Linked DNA regions of Drosophila melanogaster. The protein of the gene in region 2 interacts with the protein of the main gene of each other region in a pairwise test. Each region holds a gene or a part of one and is shown on either strand. Other genes may lie near its edges.

The links.
Region 1: the proteins of CG14866 (region 2) and CG7191 interact in a two-hybrid assay, tested with the Drosophila melanogaster proteins (one large-scale study listed by BioGRID).

What each region holds. Positions count from the first base shown.
Region 1 is NT_033779.5:7,765,514-7,773,803, reverse strand, and holds the start of CG7191 (uncharacterized protein), read right to left. Parts: upstream 6,177-8,290; 5' UTR 6,087-6,176; intron 2,543-6,086; 5' UTR 2,485-2,542; coding exon 2,199-2,484; intron 736-2,198; coding exon 554-735; intron 340-553; coding exon 146-339; intron 1-145.
Region 2 is NT_033777.3:15,314,911-15,319,060, forward strand, and holds CG14866 (uncharacterized protein), read left to right. Parts: upstream 1-1,560; 5' UTR 1,561-1,732; coding exon 1,733-1,911; exon of another isoform or gene 1,912-1,983; coding exon 1,984-2,528; intron 2,529-2,584; coding exon 2,585-3,228; 3' UTR 3,229-3,375; downstream 3,376-4,150. Other genes in the region: CG6276 (uncharacterized protein), read right to left, coding at 3,530-4,150.

The DNA.
Region 1 (8,290 bases), on a different chromosome or scaffold from region 2:
ATACTGCATAAAGACTACTGACAACATTTACTAACTACAAATGAAAAGTGGGTTCGATTAATTAGCGGTCAATGGAGCTGAGTATAGTGCTTGGTGGATTTTCGGATTATTGTGAATAATGTTTAAATATAGAAAAGCAACCTACCCGCGATTCTTGTTGTGACGCTTCCATGGATACCTTCGATAGTAGCGCGAACGCTTGGATTTGCTCTGGCCCAAAACCAAATCCTGAACGGCGTTCTCCAAGTCGGCGTAGTCCTCGGCTCCGCCGGAAGGAATCACAGCCTCCGGCTCCTCCTCCTCCACGTAGACCAAGGGCAAGGTTTCCAATGAGGGATCCTGAGCGAAAAAATGCACATAGATCAAAAAATTGTGTTAAAATTTTAATAAAAATTAAAAATATTATCACTTAAGTATGCATTACTCAAAAAGTTATTTATAAGCAAAAGCTAATATGTTTTGATGTTTATGTTTAATATTTTAAAAAAATTTAATTTACCGTGTATTTTTCAACATTTTCATCGAAATTTCGACAGCCTGTCTTCGCACTCACCTCCAGCATTTTCATGAGCAAAGCGGATTTGTCCACCAGCTCCTGCTCGGCACGCAAATCCTCCTCCATCTTCTTGAGCACCTCGAACTTGCTGGCCAGCTCGAGTTCGTTGTACACCGCATCCGCGTAGTCGGGACCTTGAGGAACCACTGCCAATCCGAGCTCCTGGGCGCGGAGTAATTCTGCCGTGAAATGAGCAAGCCAAAGACCTTATTTGCGATTTGAATGTTTATTCAAGCTGTCGCTAATCCGACCACAACCACGCCATTGCCATTCCCATTCCCACTTCCACTCCCACTCCCACTTAATTCCCCGACTCCTGCTCCTTGCCATCGGAAACTTCCGCCGTTTGATATTTGAAAGTTTGAATAGTTTGTTTGTCTGTCTGTCCTGGTTGGCTGGAATATGTTTTCCCCCGGCTCTTCGGTCGTTTCAATGGACTGGCGGAAATTGACTGGCGGCAATGAGTTTATGGCCACAGCATTCCTTTTCCCCTCCGCGGCAGGGGAAGCCTTCTCGGCTTTTCGACCACGTCCGTCAGTCAAGTCAACAGGCACTGCAACTCCTTGACTGCCTTTTGTCGCATTTGGCATCCAGTCTGCCCATCACTGTCCACTCGATGTCTCTTCAAAGAGCCGCAGACAGCGGACGCTCATGAACCCAAAGCATTTACAGTTTTAAATTTAAGGACTCCTCAATTGAAATAAATAGTTTCGAGATCAGAAACAGAAATAAATTTAAATTTTTGTTTCATATATGTATGTTTATAAGATCATGTCCAAAAATTCAAATGTTACCAACTCAAACCAAATCGATATTCGTTAAATTTCCAATCCATTTACCCATCTATCAAATCGCTTGGAAAACAAGTTCGCTTATTGAAAATCGGATATGACATTTTATTGCCGGTTGGTAGAAGGTAGGTGGTAGCAACGTAAAACGCAAACGTCGAATCAAATTCGTCAACAAATTTGAAAATCTATCCCGGGCAGTTTGGTGGGCGTTTTAAGTGCTCAGCACAAACAAACACATGCTCCACATATTGTGCGATGGTCAACAATGTGAGGCACTTGAAAAATTGTGCACTGACCGAAAATGTTCAGCGAGCGGTGGTCACCATGGCCATTAGGGATAGAGATGGTGGGCGACGGTTACGGCTAAGTGCACGCCATGGGTCACCCTAACTCTTGGTCCACCCCTTTCGAATGGGTCGCCTAAAAGTCGGCAAGCAAAAATTTTGAACGTAATCATGTACTCAGGTGAGGAGTAAATAGGAGGCCATAACTGCCATTAAATATTGAAAATATTTTAGAAAAATAGCTAAATGACAACAAAATAACTAGTTCATTTATTAAAGTTCCTGAACAGATTCAGTTCCAGTTCCTCAGCTTTATGGATCAGAATGCCTATTAATTTGGCTAATATAAATAAGGTCTATATATTTTTATAGGGCGATGGAATAGCTTGGTTATAGGATTCACCTTGACCACGATTACGTCTTCGCATTCAAAAAGAACCCGATAACAATTTAATTGAAATGGTCTTTGGATGCAGTTGCTATCCTTTTAATTCGACTGGGGATTAGCTGATGCCCGGGAAGTTTACCATGGCAAGGAAAGCGGTAATAGGGATGTTTATGACTCACCATCGCCGGGATCGTAAACAGCTCGTTCCTGGGCATCCAGGACATCGCCGGGCAGAGCGGGTCCTTGGCGAACGGGTCCGCCCCCGACCGCTAGAACGGGCAAATGAAGACGTTGTGGTACGGACGCCACGCCCTGATGGTCACCCACTTTGGCACCGTTTGCTCCGCCTGCTCCTCCGCTGGCGGTGGACTGTGCAGTCAGGAAGCCGGCGACGTGACGCGTCCTGCTGCACAGGATCGTGGTAGCCAGGATGCAGAGCGCTAGGATGTCGGGCTTCATGTTCATACAGCCTCTGCGGATGAGCTCGGGATTAGTGCGCGGGTCGTTGGCGATGTGGATGTCTCTGGAAGGCAAAAAAAAAAAAAGCGTAGATGTTTGTACAAGAGGGTAATTACCGTCACTACCACGGCCATGGGATGGATACCTACCCCATCCGCCCCATTATGCCGTGCGTGTGGGCGTCTCTTTGTGCTCAAGCAAACAATACTCAGATAAACACGCAAGCAACCAAGAAACCCCCGCCAAAAGTAGGAGAATCGCGAGGGAAACTGGAGAAATGGGCGGTGGGTGCCAAACGTCAAAAGGGCGTCTCTTGGATAACTTGGCGGCTGATTCTGGGGCTTTTGTTTTGCGCTCCTGCTTAATCTTTCTTCGCGCGAAGAACCGTGGGCCATACGGGCAAACAAATTCTACTCCTTTTCCACTAACTAAGGCCGTTATTTAAAAATTGGGTAAAAATATAAAGGTTGTGTACTTTGCAGACAAATAGTTAATAACAAAGACGGATGCAGTATGTTGTTTATAAAGTAGAAATTACACAATTCAACTATCAGAAAAATAATATATTTATATTAATATTCGAATATTAAAAAGTACTGCCTAATTTTTAACATCCCATTTATTTATAGACAAATGAAAGCTACTCTATAATTCTTGTAGATTTTAACGAAAGATGTTTCTAATTAAAATTGATAAGAATGCTATTACTTTTCGCATAGATTTCCACCACTGTGCAGTAGGTGTTTGTGTGCTTTTATAAATATTTTTTATGTCAGGTACTGCATCGCGGTTCATACTGGGCCCACTCTGTGCGCTTTGTCGTTTCATTTAATTAAGGATGGGACGTCGCCGAAGTGAGCGAGTGGGCTTAACTCCTTCGCAGCGTATTTTTAGCCCATTTAGCTCAGGAGCCTGGTTGTTGGGGTTTTGGGGAAACCCGCCAACCTTATCGCATTTTTTTGCGTTTAAAAAACATTCGCTTGACGAGCAATATAAATGAGTTGCCTGAAACTTTTGGCACTTGCGGTCTCGCTGGTTGAGATGTCTAGGATCGGCTTAATTTGTCTGCCCAAGCAACTGAAAATAATGTATGCCTAAGACAAATTTCGACAAAAAAGTGTGAAAATTTTCACCAAGAAATCCAAAGTTCATTATTTAATTAAGGGCTTGGTAAATAATTAAAGCGCTGTTTGCTGCGAAAGTTTAAGCGTCTGTTTTTTTAAGGAATTATAATTTATTACATAATTCTATAATTTAATAATATTAATCTTTATTAAAATATTTTCCAGAAAATCTGTTCTACCTCACAGATAAATACATTGAAATTAGCTCAATTTATATGGTTAGTTAACCACATAAATCAATCAAGCAAATCAACTCTGTCACGCCCTCTCAAAAAAATAAAGACGGTTGCATTTGGTTCATTAAAATTGCTCGGAGAAAGAGAAATTCTCTGTGGATGATTTTCTTTTCACTTTTCGTCACGTTTTGATTAAATTCAATTGAAAATTTGCAACTTTGTCAAAATATTTGCGAACAATGTTCTCTCGTAGATTTAGGTCTTTAAGTGCATTGCGATTTTCCTGTTTTTTTTTGGTATTAATTTTGGAAATAAATTGCAATTTCTTCGGGCATTTCCTGCAAGAAAACTTTTTCAATTACTCCTCTTTTATTGGCACTCACTTAAGTGGGCGACACTTTGGCGTTATTTTTGGGAAAGCACAACTTATTCGAAATTGCTGCGGAGAGAACGAATTATAAGTAAACAAAGCAAACACGAATCGTTGTTAAAATGCCTTAATTAACTTGTTGACACAGTGTCAAAAAGTGGACAGAGCCCAAAAAACAAAAAATAGGAAAAAAAAAGCAAAAGAAGGGAATTCACCCTGGTTGGCGATGTCCCCAAGGTAAAATGAAATTAACTTGGAAGCGAGGGAAGTTTCAGGAACCCATATATAATTGTACGTTCATTTTTACCCGTCGCCTGTTTTCCTTTTCGCAATAACCGCACAGCTAATTGCTAAATTGAGTTGAAGTGTAACCGAAACGCACACGAACCCAAAGGAATTTTCATAGGCCTTATCTGCCACTATATTCGCCTACGTACCACCTGGACATGTGTGGCGGAAAAACTGCTTAATTAGGGCTAAGGATGTGGAGTTGGTCAAGTGCATCGGACATTTTGTCGCCGGAGTCCGGCCAATTAGACACGGTCTACGTGCGTAACAATCCTGGGTAGGATATTACATAACTTTTCTACTTATTGAATCCGACCATCTGGGATACTTGTCAAAATTTGCACACAAAAGGTTACACAAAGTGTTTGAGCCAAACCAAAGGACCAGACAGACGGCAATGATTGCTACGAAAAATCAAAAAAAGGGTGCTAGCCAAGAAAATTCCATGAAATTCATAAGTATTTTTTTTGCAGTTTTAAATCCTCGCCAACTACAAAATCGTGTACTAATCTTTAATGAAAAGTATAGCCTGCGGAATGTAAGTCAATACCTCTAGATATACTTTTCAGTTGCTATGTCTAAAGAAATAGCACAACCAATTTCAGTAAATACATTCTCCAGGAGAAAATCCTGTGGGATGCTGAATTTTTGTGACATGAAAACAGCTTTGGAATGCTTTCGATTGATTCAGTTTTTTTTTTTAAATTTCTATACGATTGTCAGGAATTTTTGCACGTGGAACTTAAGGGGTTTGAAACAGAGAACGAGGTCGGGGACAACAAATATTGATGCTTTTTTCTATTTGTTTCTCCTAGATTTTCATTGGTTTATTGACATTTGTGTTTGGCATTGGTGGGAATTCCTTGAGTTATTGACATTGATAAAGTATTTATGGATTGCTGTCCCGAGTAACCTTAAAACCAATTTTCCCAAAATTTGTAAGCTCACCAGTGCAATGAAATGAATTTTTAAATTTAACTAGTTCAGCTGTGATGCTCTGTGCTTAAAAAGCTTGAACTTTAATAAATTAATAAAAATAAATTATTGTAGTTAAACATTTACAAGATTAGTATAATATATAAAATTAATCATATAAATGGGGTTTTCTTGTAAAAAGCGTTGGTGAAATAAAATAAGAAAATTTTACTTTTATTTTTGAAGAGAACTTACAATGGCTAGGCTCTATCTTTATGGTAATTTTCAGTTTTAAGCCAAAGGTAGTTTTGTGTTAAATATCTTCTGATACAATTCAAAATATAAGAGCAGATTAAAATAATTTACCAAAGAAAAAGTACTGAATTAATGAATTAAGTTTTAGCTGGCTTTTCTTTGCCTTAAAAATATTTCTGTATTATTAAGAACGAATTCACTTAATAGTTTTAAATATAAGAGTTCTCCTGTTCTTATTTGGCATATTTAATATATGTCCACAAATTGTTATTTATTTTTTTAGGCGCGTATTTCGAGTTTCATTGACGACACTGTAATCGATGACGAAAGCGACGGCATTACTAAGATTTCACGTCACGTTTAGTTATCCTTTTTATGAAATCGACTGGCTTAAATTAAACACAGACCACAAGATATTTTTTGGAAACTTCTTAAAGAGTTTGGCGTGACTGATATTCGAAATACACCGTTAACACTCACTTTAAAATATATTCCTGGAAACCGTTTGAGTTACTGAATCGGAATCAGAATCGGAATACTGTCAACTGTTGCACCTACTACTTGTTGAACACTGCGTGGTTGACTCGCGGAGCCGCTTCCTTTTATAAGGCCGCATCCGAAGTTGAAACCGATTCGTTGCCATCGTCGGCCGATGACGAGTGCGTCGATTTCAACGAGCCGATGTAAAGGCGCCAAAAATTGCGTAAAAGCTTCAAACAAGCTTTTACTGGCCACTCCTCCTTGGAAAACGAAGCCACGGCCGTTTTTATCAATGAAATATTTTGGGGACATTTAAAAAGTTTAGCGCGATATTCGCGAATGAATAATGTCGGTGGCAATTATTCAGCAGGATCACGATATGCGCCGCAAAGTAGACAACAAGTCGCGAAAAGACGTCACGTGGCAAGGTGATAAATTATCTGCGGGTTGGGGTGGATAGAAGCCTTTGTTGACGGCCCTGTTTACGGAAACGTATTCTGAATAGTCCGGGTCACTCGTTTCTCGGAATCTCGCCTTTCTGTGGGAGGTCTCAAAGTTCCTCAAAGGACCTGCCAAGCATGACGCTGCGGAAATCCCTGCAGGCCGGTAGTTTGGAAATGTATTTGAAAATTTCCAGCGAATCGCCTAAATGTAATTGCATTGTCATATTCCAGTGCAAAATGGTATTGTCATATTGCTGCACTTATGAATTAGGCAACGATTATATTTATAGATCGATGATGATATAGCCTATCAGTCAGGCTGATAAATACTGGAAAAAGATAAAAAATCTATTTAAATGTGGTAAACTCATAAAATTTAATTCGAAAGGGTTTGATGTCTGTTTTTTTTTTACCTTCTATTGGCGTTTATTAAAAAATAATCAAATTTTATATTTATAGCTAATGTGTATATTTAAAACATTTGCTGCCTAAACTTAAACGGCAATGGCCTCGGCCAATAGTCCATCCTTTCCGTCCGACTCCCAGTTGAACTGCAAATCCAAAAGGAACACGGCAATCGCAGAGGAGGAATCGAAGGGTCTGGACATCCATCCAGTCGGATGTCAACAACCGTCGCAGCCCGCAGGCCTTGAAAATGATGACACTTTAATGTGAAATTGCCGTTAGTAATGGAGGGCAATCCAAACGATCCTTCGATGTTTTCGTTATTGTTTTGAGTGTGTGTATGTATGTGTGTGTGACTGTGTGTTGTTTTGGCCTAAAAGGCGGGCCGGGAAAATAAGCATATATAGGGTTTTCTTGAAAATCGCCTGGGGCAACAGAAGATGACACTTACGCAGAGAAAACCAATAATAGCCCGCTGAAAAGTTTAAGTGCTCGCGGGCAGGGGAAAGTGTCACTGGATGGAGGCTTCCTCATGTAGCGCGGCAAAAGTCATATTTTTGGCCAGAACCTGCTATTTATAGTCGTCTTTATTTATTTCGTTCGCTCTCCTCCACTTCTTCATACTTTACGCTCCTTATGGCAAGCGGATTGTGCGACTTAAGTTGCATCAGTCCGAAGTCCACCCACCCAAATGGCCACCGATTCATCCAAATGCGTCACGCCCTTCTGGTTTGGCACATGCAATCTCGCCATGTGCCGACGTGCCAAACAAAATGATAAACAAATTAGCGCAGCTAATTACTCTGAAATTTGTGGTTGGTGTTCCGGGAAACAGAGCCTGATATGTCATATATAAATATATTTCTTATGAAGTTATAATGAAATTAATATATATCATCATATACATTTATTTGTAAAAATAAATAAAATAAATCATTACCCAAAAATCATTATACACATGAAAACTCAGCGGACCTTATCATTTACTAAATTAGTTTTCCGTGTAATCTTCTTTCGAGGATTCGGTTTTCAGAACACTATTTGGCCCGCATATCTTTCCGTTACGCATATCCGTATCGCTGAGCAAATATTTGTAGCATACTTGTCGGGCGTTGGCGAGTGAAATGTGCAATTGACTCACGCGTTTGTTTTTGGATTTTTCGGCCGCTTTATTTTTGTTGTCATGCGGGTACAATCAAGTCGTTACAGCTTTAATTAAACCCCATTGACAGTTATCAAGTTATCAACCTAAACGCTGAGATTGAGTGACAGTTTAGCTAACGTTTTTCGATTGCGCTACCTCTTCCGACGTCTAACAAACTGTGGTAGGTACCCCAGCCTAATTGATGTTTGCAC
Region 2 (4,150 bases):
TCAAAAGTAGCAGAATGTATAAAGTAAACAAAACGAAAACAAGAACACGAATTTTGTATTTTTAAAATCAATGTTTAAAAATATTAAGAAGCGCTTGCAGTCAGGCAATAAGAGCGAGAGAGCTAGAGAGAGTGCCCAGGAAAGAGACGGGGCTAAATTTAAAATTTTAAGATCGCGCTGCCTGCTTTACTTTCAGTTTATATCTTACAATTACACCACAAACAAACAAAAAAACACCCACAAAAAAAGTATAAAAAAATTTATAAAAACTTTGCTAAAAAAAAATTATATGTTTGATGTTTGCTTTCAATGATGCACAAAACCGAATTTCTTTGCCCTTCAGCGAATCGCGCTGAAGTTCACTACATTTTTGGCGGATATGCAAAGTAGTCTTCAGTTTTTTCCACCGATTTCTCATACTCTTGGGAAACCCCATGGATGCTGGGCCGAAATAACCAAGTCCGAAGTGCGTCACCACTTCATCGGAGATGGATCACGATCCGCAAATCGAGGCCTTCATTGCAACATCTTTAGCATCCGCGCTAATTGTCAAAGCAATGAATAATGAAAGTTCAGTTATCTGTATATATATGGCATATATACACATCCTCAGGGTGATTTCCAGATATGAATTGTAGATGTGGGCAGCTCGCCGTTTTGACCATCAATAAGTGAGTTAAGGCCGCGTTCGACATGTGGGTCTGTTGCTCTCTTGGCCAAATGGACTTTCTTGTAAACTGAACTCGAATTGAATTTCCATTTCTCCTCGCTCTTCTCGCGACGTTGGCCATAAAATAGTTATTAAATCGTTAAGTGGTGTGTTAAATTACCCACTTAAAGCGCCAGTCATTATTTACATAATTTACATTATGGTATATGGAAGCTGGCAGATATGTTCATCTTATGAAAAAAAAAGAAAGAGTCATTTCGAGTTTAAAAAAAAAAACTTTTGTTTTTAGCTTTTAAAAAGAAATATATAGAGAACGGTTGATATTTTAAAAGCTGTTATCTTTAAGATAGAAGTTGAAATATGAATGATTATTCCATGTTTATATTGCCCGGGGAGGAACTAGAAAATCGCCTAAGTTACTTTCTTAGTTAACCGCATTCAGAAAGTCATTCCTCACAAGTCGAAGAACACCCAAATGAACATGGCACATCCAGCACACCAAACTCCATTTCATTCAAGTTTAAGCCAGCAGTTTTCGCTTCAATTGACAGCCGCGTCAATTACCTAAGTCTGGGCCAATTTGGTTGGAGTGCAAACAAACAGTGGGTCGGACCGGGCCGGTCCACAAAAGCGGCGAGCGGAGCAGTAGAGATGCCGATGAAAAGCCCAATGACTTACATTTGCCCACCACAGCCAAGCGAAGGAGAAAGTGAAATTTTGCATTTCTCGGCGGCCGGCAGCAACAACAATGGGTCTTCGGTCTGGTTGGGTCTGGTCTTGGCCATTGCCATTGGCATGGTATTGAAGCGGTGCGACGGTAGCAGGGAAGAGGGGAAGGAAGAGGCGATCAGCGAGCGGAGCGGACCAGGCCCAAAGTCAAGCGCAGAGCTTCAGTCGTGGTTTTCAGCTCGACCCAAGCGAACGGACGTCTTTGAACAGCGGACGCGGCATAAACCGCACGGAAAACGCAACGAAATCGAAAGTGTTCACCACGCGACTGGAATCGCCAAGTGCTTAGCGAGGCGGGGGCAATATACCCATCCGTAAACATTACGTGTCACCATGCCGCCGGCTGGTCAACAACTCCGGCTTACGGCCCTTGTTTATCTGGCATTAGGTATTGCACTCTTATGCAATGGCAGCGATGGTGAAACTAGGCAAAAATACGCCAATGAATCACTCGCGGACGCAGACGATCCATCTCCAGTTTGGTCGCAATTTCTCGAAGATTACGTCTTGAGGTATGGTTACAGGAGGCTAGGCTAGGGCAACACACTCATCCAGATCTTCCCACGCGTCTGTCTTACATATAGCCAAGGCAGCAGTAGCAGCGGCAGCCAGCGAAAGTCCAAAGACCTGCCTTATATGGGCGCGGACATGGGCATCAATGGACCGCTCAGCTATCACTCGTCCGCCTACAAGCGACCCGGCAACAATATCTACATCACCAGGAGAATTGGCGAGGCGGTGGAACTAGAGCCGCATCTGCGAAAGCCCGTGGAGAGCCAGAGTCCCATTGTGAATCCTCAGTTCCGACCCATGACCAATCAAATGTTGCACCAGCAACACCAACAGATGCAGCAACAACAGCAACAGCAACAGTTGCAGCAACGCCAGCAACCGGGTTTCCTGCAGCAGCTCTTTGGCATAGGTGGCAGTGGTGGTGGTGGTGGTAGCGGTACCCAGCAACAGCAACATGTGCGACCAGTGCCGCTGCAACAGCAGCAAGTGCAACAGATAGCGCAGCAACACCCGCAACAGCAACATCTTGTGGGCGGTCAGCCGACCACATTCCGAGCTGTCTCCGAAAATGATCTTTATCTCTTGGGAGCCATTGAAAAGTTGGTGTATCGAGTGGGTAAGTTGAAGTCACACCTAGGAGTTCTTGGTCTAAGTAAAAGCAAACACCCATAGATTACCTGGAGAGTCGCGTGCGGCGCTCGGAGCAGCTGATCTACTATCTGATGGCCGGAAACAATCAGAAGGAGGTGAAGGATCCCTGTCCCGCGAACTTCACGCGCATCAGCGACAACTGCTACTACATCAACAGCCAGCAGCAGGTGAACTGGAAGACGGCAAACTCTGCCTGCAAGGGTCTAAACTCCCACCTGGCCGAGTTCGAGAAGGTCTCGGAGAATGAGGAGATCATGGCCTATCTGCTGAATCAGCCGACGCATCGTGGTCGCGATTACTGGCTGGGCGGTCTCAATCCTGGCCTCCTCTGGATCTGGTCCAATTCGGCTAAGCCGGTGAATCCCAACATGAATCTCACATCCATTGCGATGGCCCAGAAGGGGGAGAACTCGACGGCCGCCAATCTGGTGGACAGTTCGGAGCAGGCGGCAGAGGAGGCGACCGGCGAGGATGTGCTGAACAACACGGTGCAAATAGAGGGCAAGGGTCGCTGCCTACGGCTAAGTTACAATGCCGGAAAGCACAGCTATGTGTACTACGGACAGGAGTGCACCTCGCGGCACTACTACATCTGCGAGCACGAGGACAAGACGCTGGACAACAAGATCAAGAAGATCACCCGCGAGCTGAAGCTGTTCGAGTGAGGATGGGATGCAACCCATTCCGATCCTCATGTGATACTTCAAGTTACCTAGCCATATATCGCATAATTTCAAATGAATTTATTCTTGTGTTACACATTAAATATTTATAAATATTTATACAATTAATAAACATACCGGATAGTTTTCAAAACGTTTTTAAGGATACTTTGTTCTTGCACAGCGAAGCTTAAAGGATTCTTTTTTTTTCTCCAACGAAAATACAAAAGAGAATATTAAACAAAATCGATACTGGAACTGGGTTCCGTTTGCGTTAAGCGGAAGGTATACACAGAGATCAACGCTAATCCGGATACAGGTAGTCCTGCAGGATGTTCTGGAAGGCTATCTTTATCTTGCCGCGATCACGGCCGTTCAGCTTTTGGATGTCGGGCAGCAGGCTCATCAGAAACATGGCATCCGGATCGGTCTTGCAGTCGCACAGCTCCGCACCGCCGTTGGACACGGATCCGCCGGACGCGTTGTTGGCTTCCAAACGCAGAGGAAGCGCTGACGGCGGCACCTGTGGATGTCCTCCATGCATATGGTTGTGCCCATGCCGTTGACTCAAGTAGCTACTGCTACTGCTGGCACTAACACTACTACTGGGCGCCATCGGGGTGGCCACGGCCGCAGTGGATGGTGTGGGCAGTTCCGCTTCGGATAAGCCAGCAGTTCCTGGAACACCTCCTCCTCCTCCGCCTCCGGCGTGCGTTGTAGTGCTAACCAAATCCACGGGCTTGCTGAAAGTAGGTCGCACAAACGAAATGTTTGGATGGGCAGTCGGCTGTGCGGAGTAGTTGACCCCGGCCACTGCTGCAGTTGGAGCTTGGAGTTCCTGGGAACGCGGACGAATAGCGCCACGCATCTCGTCATGGTAGGTGCGCATTTGGAGGCGACCCGGAAGCATTCGGCTGGCGTGTGA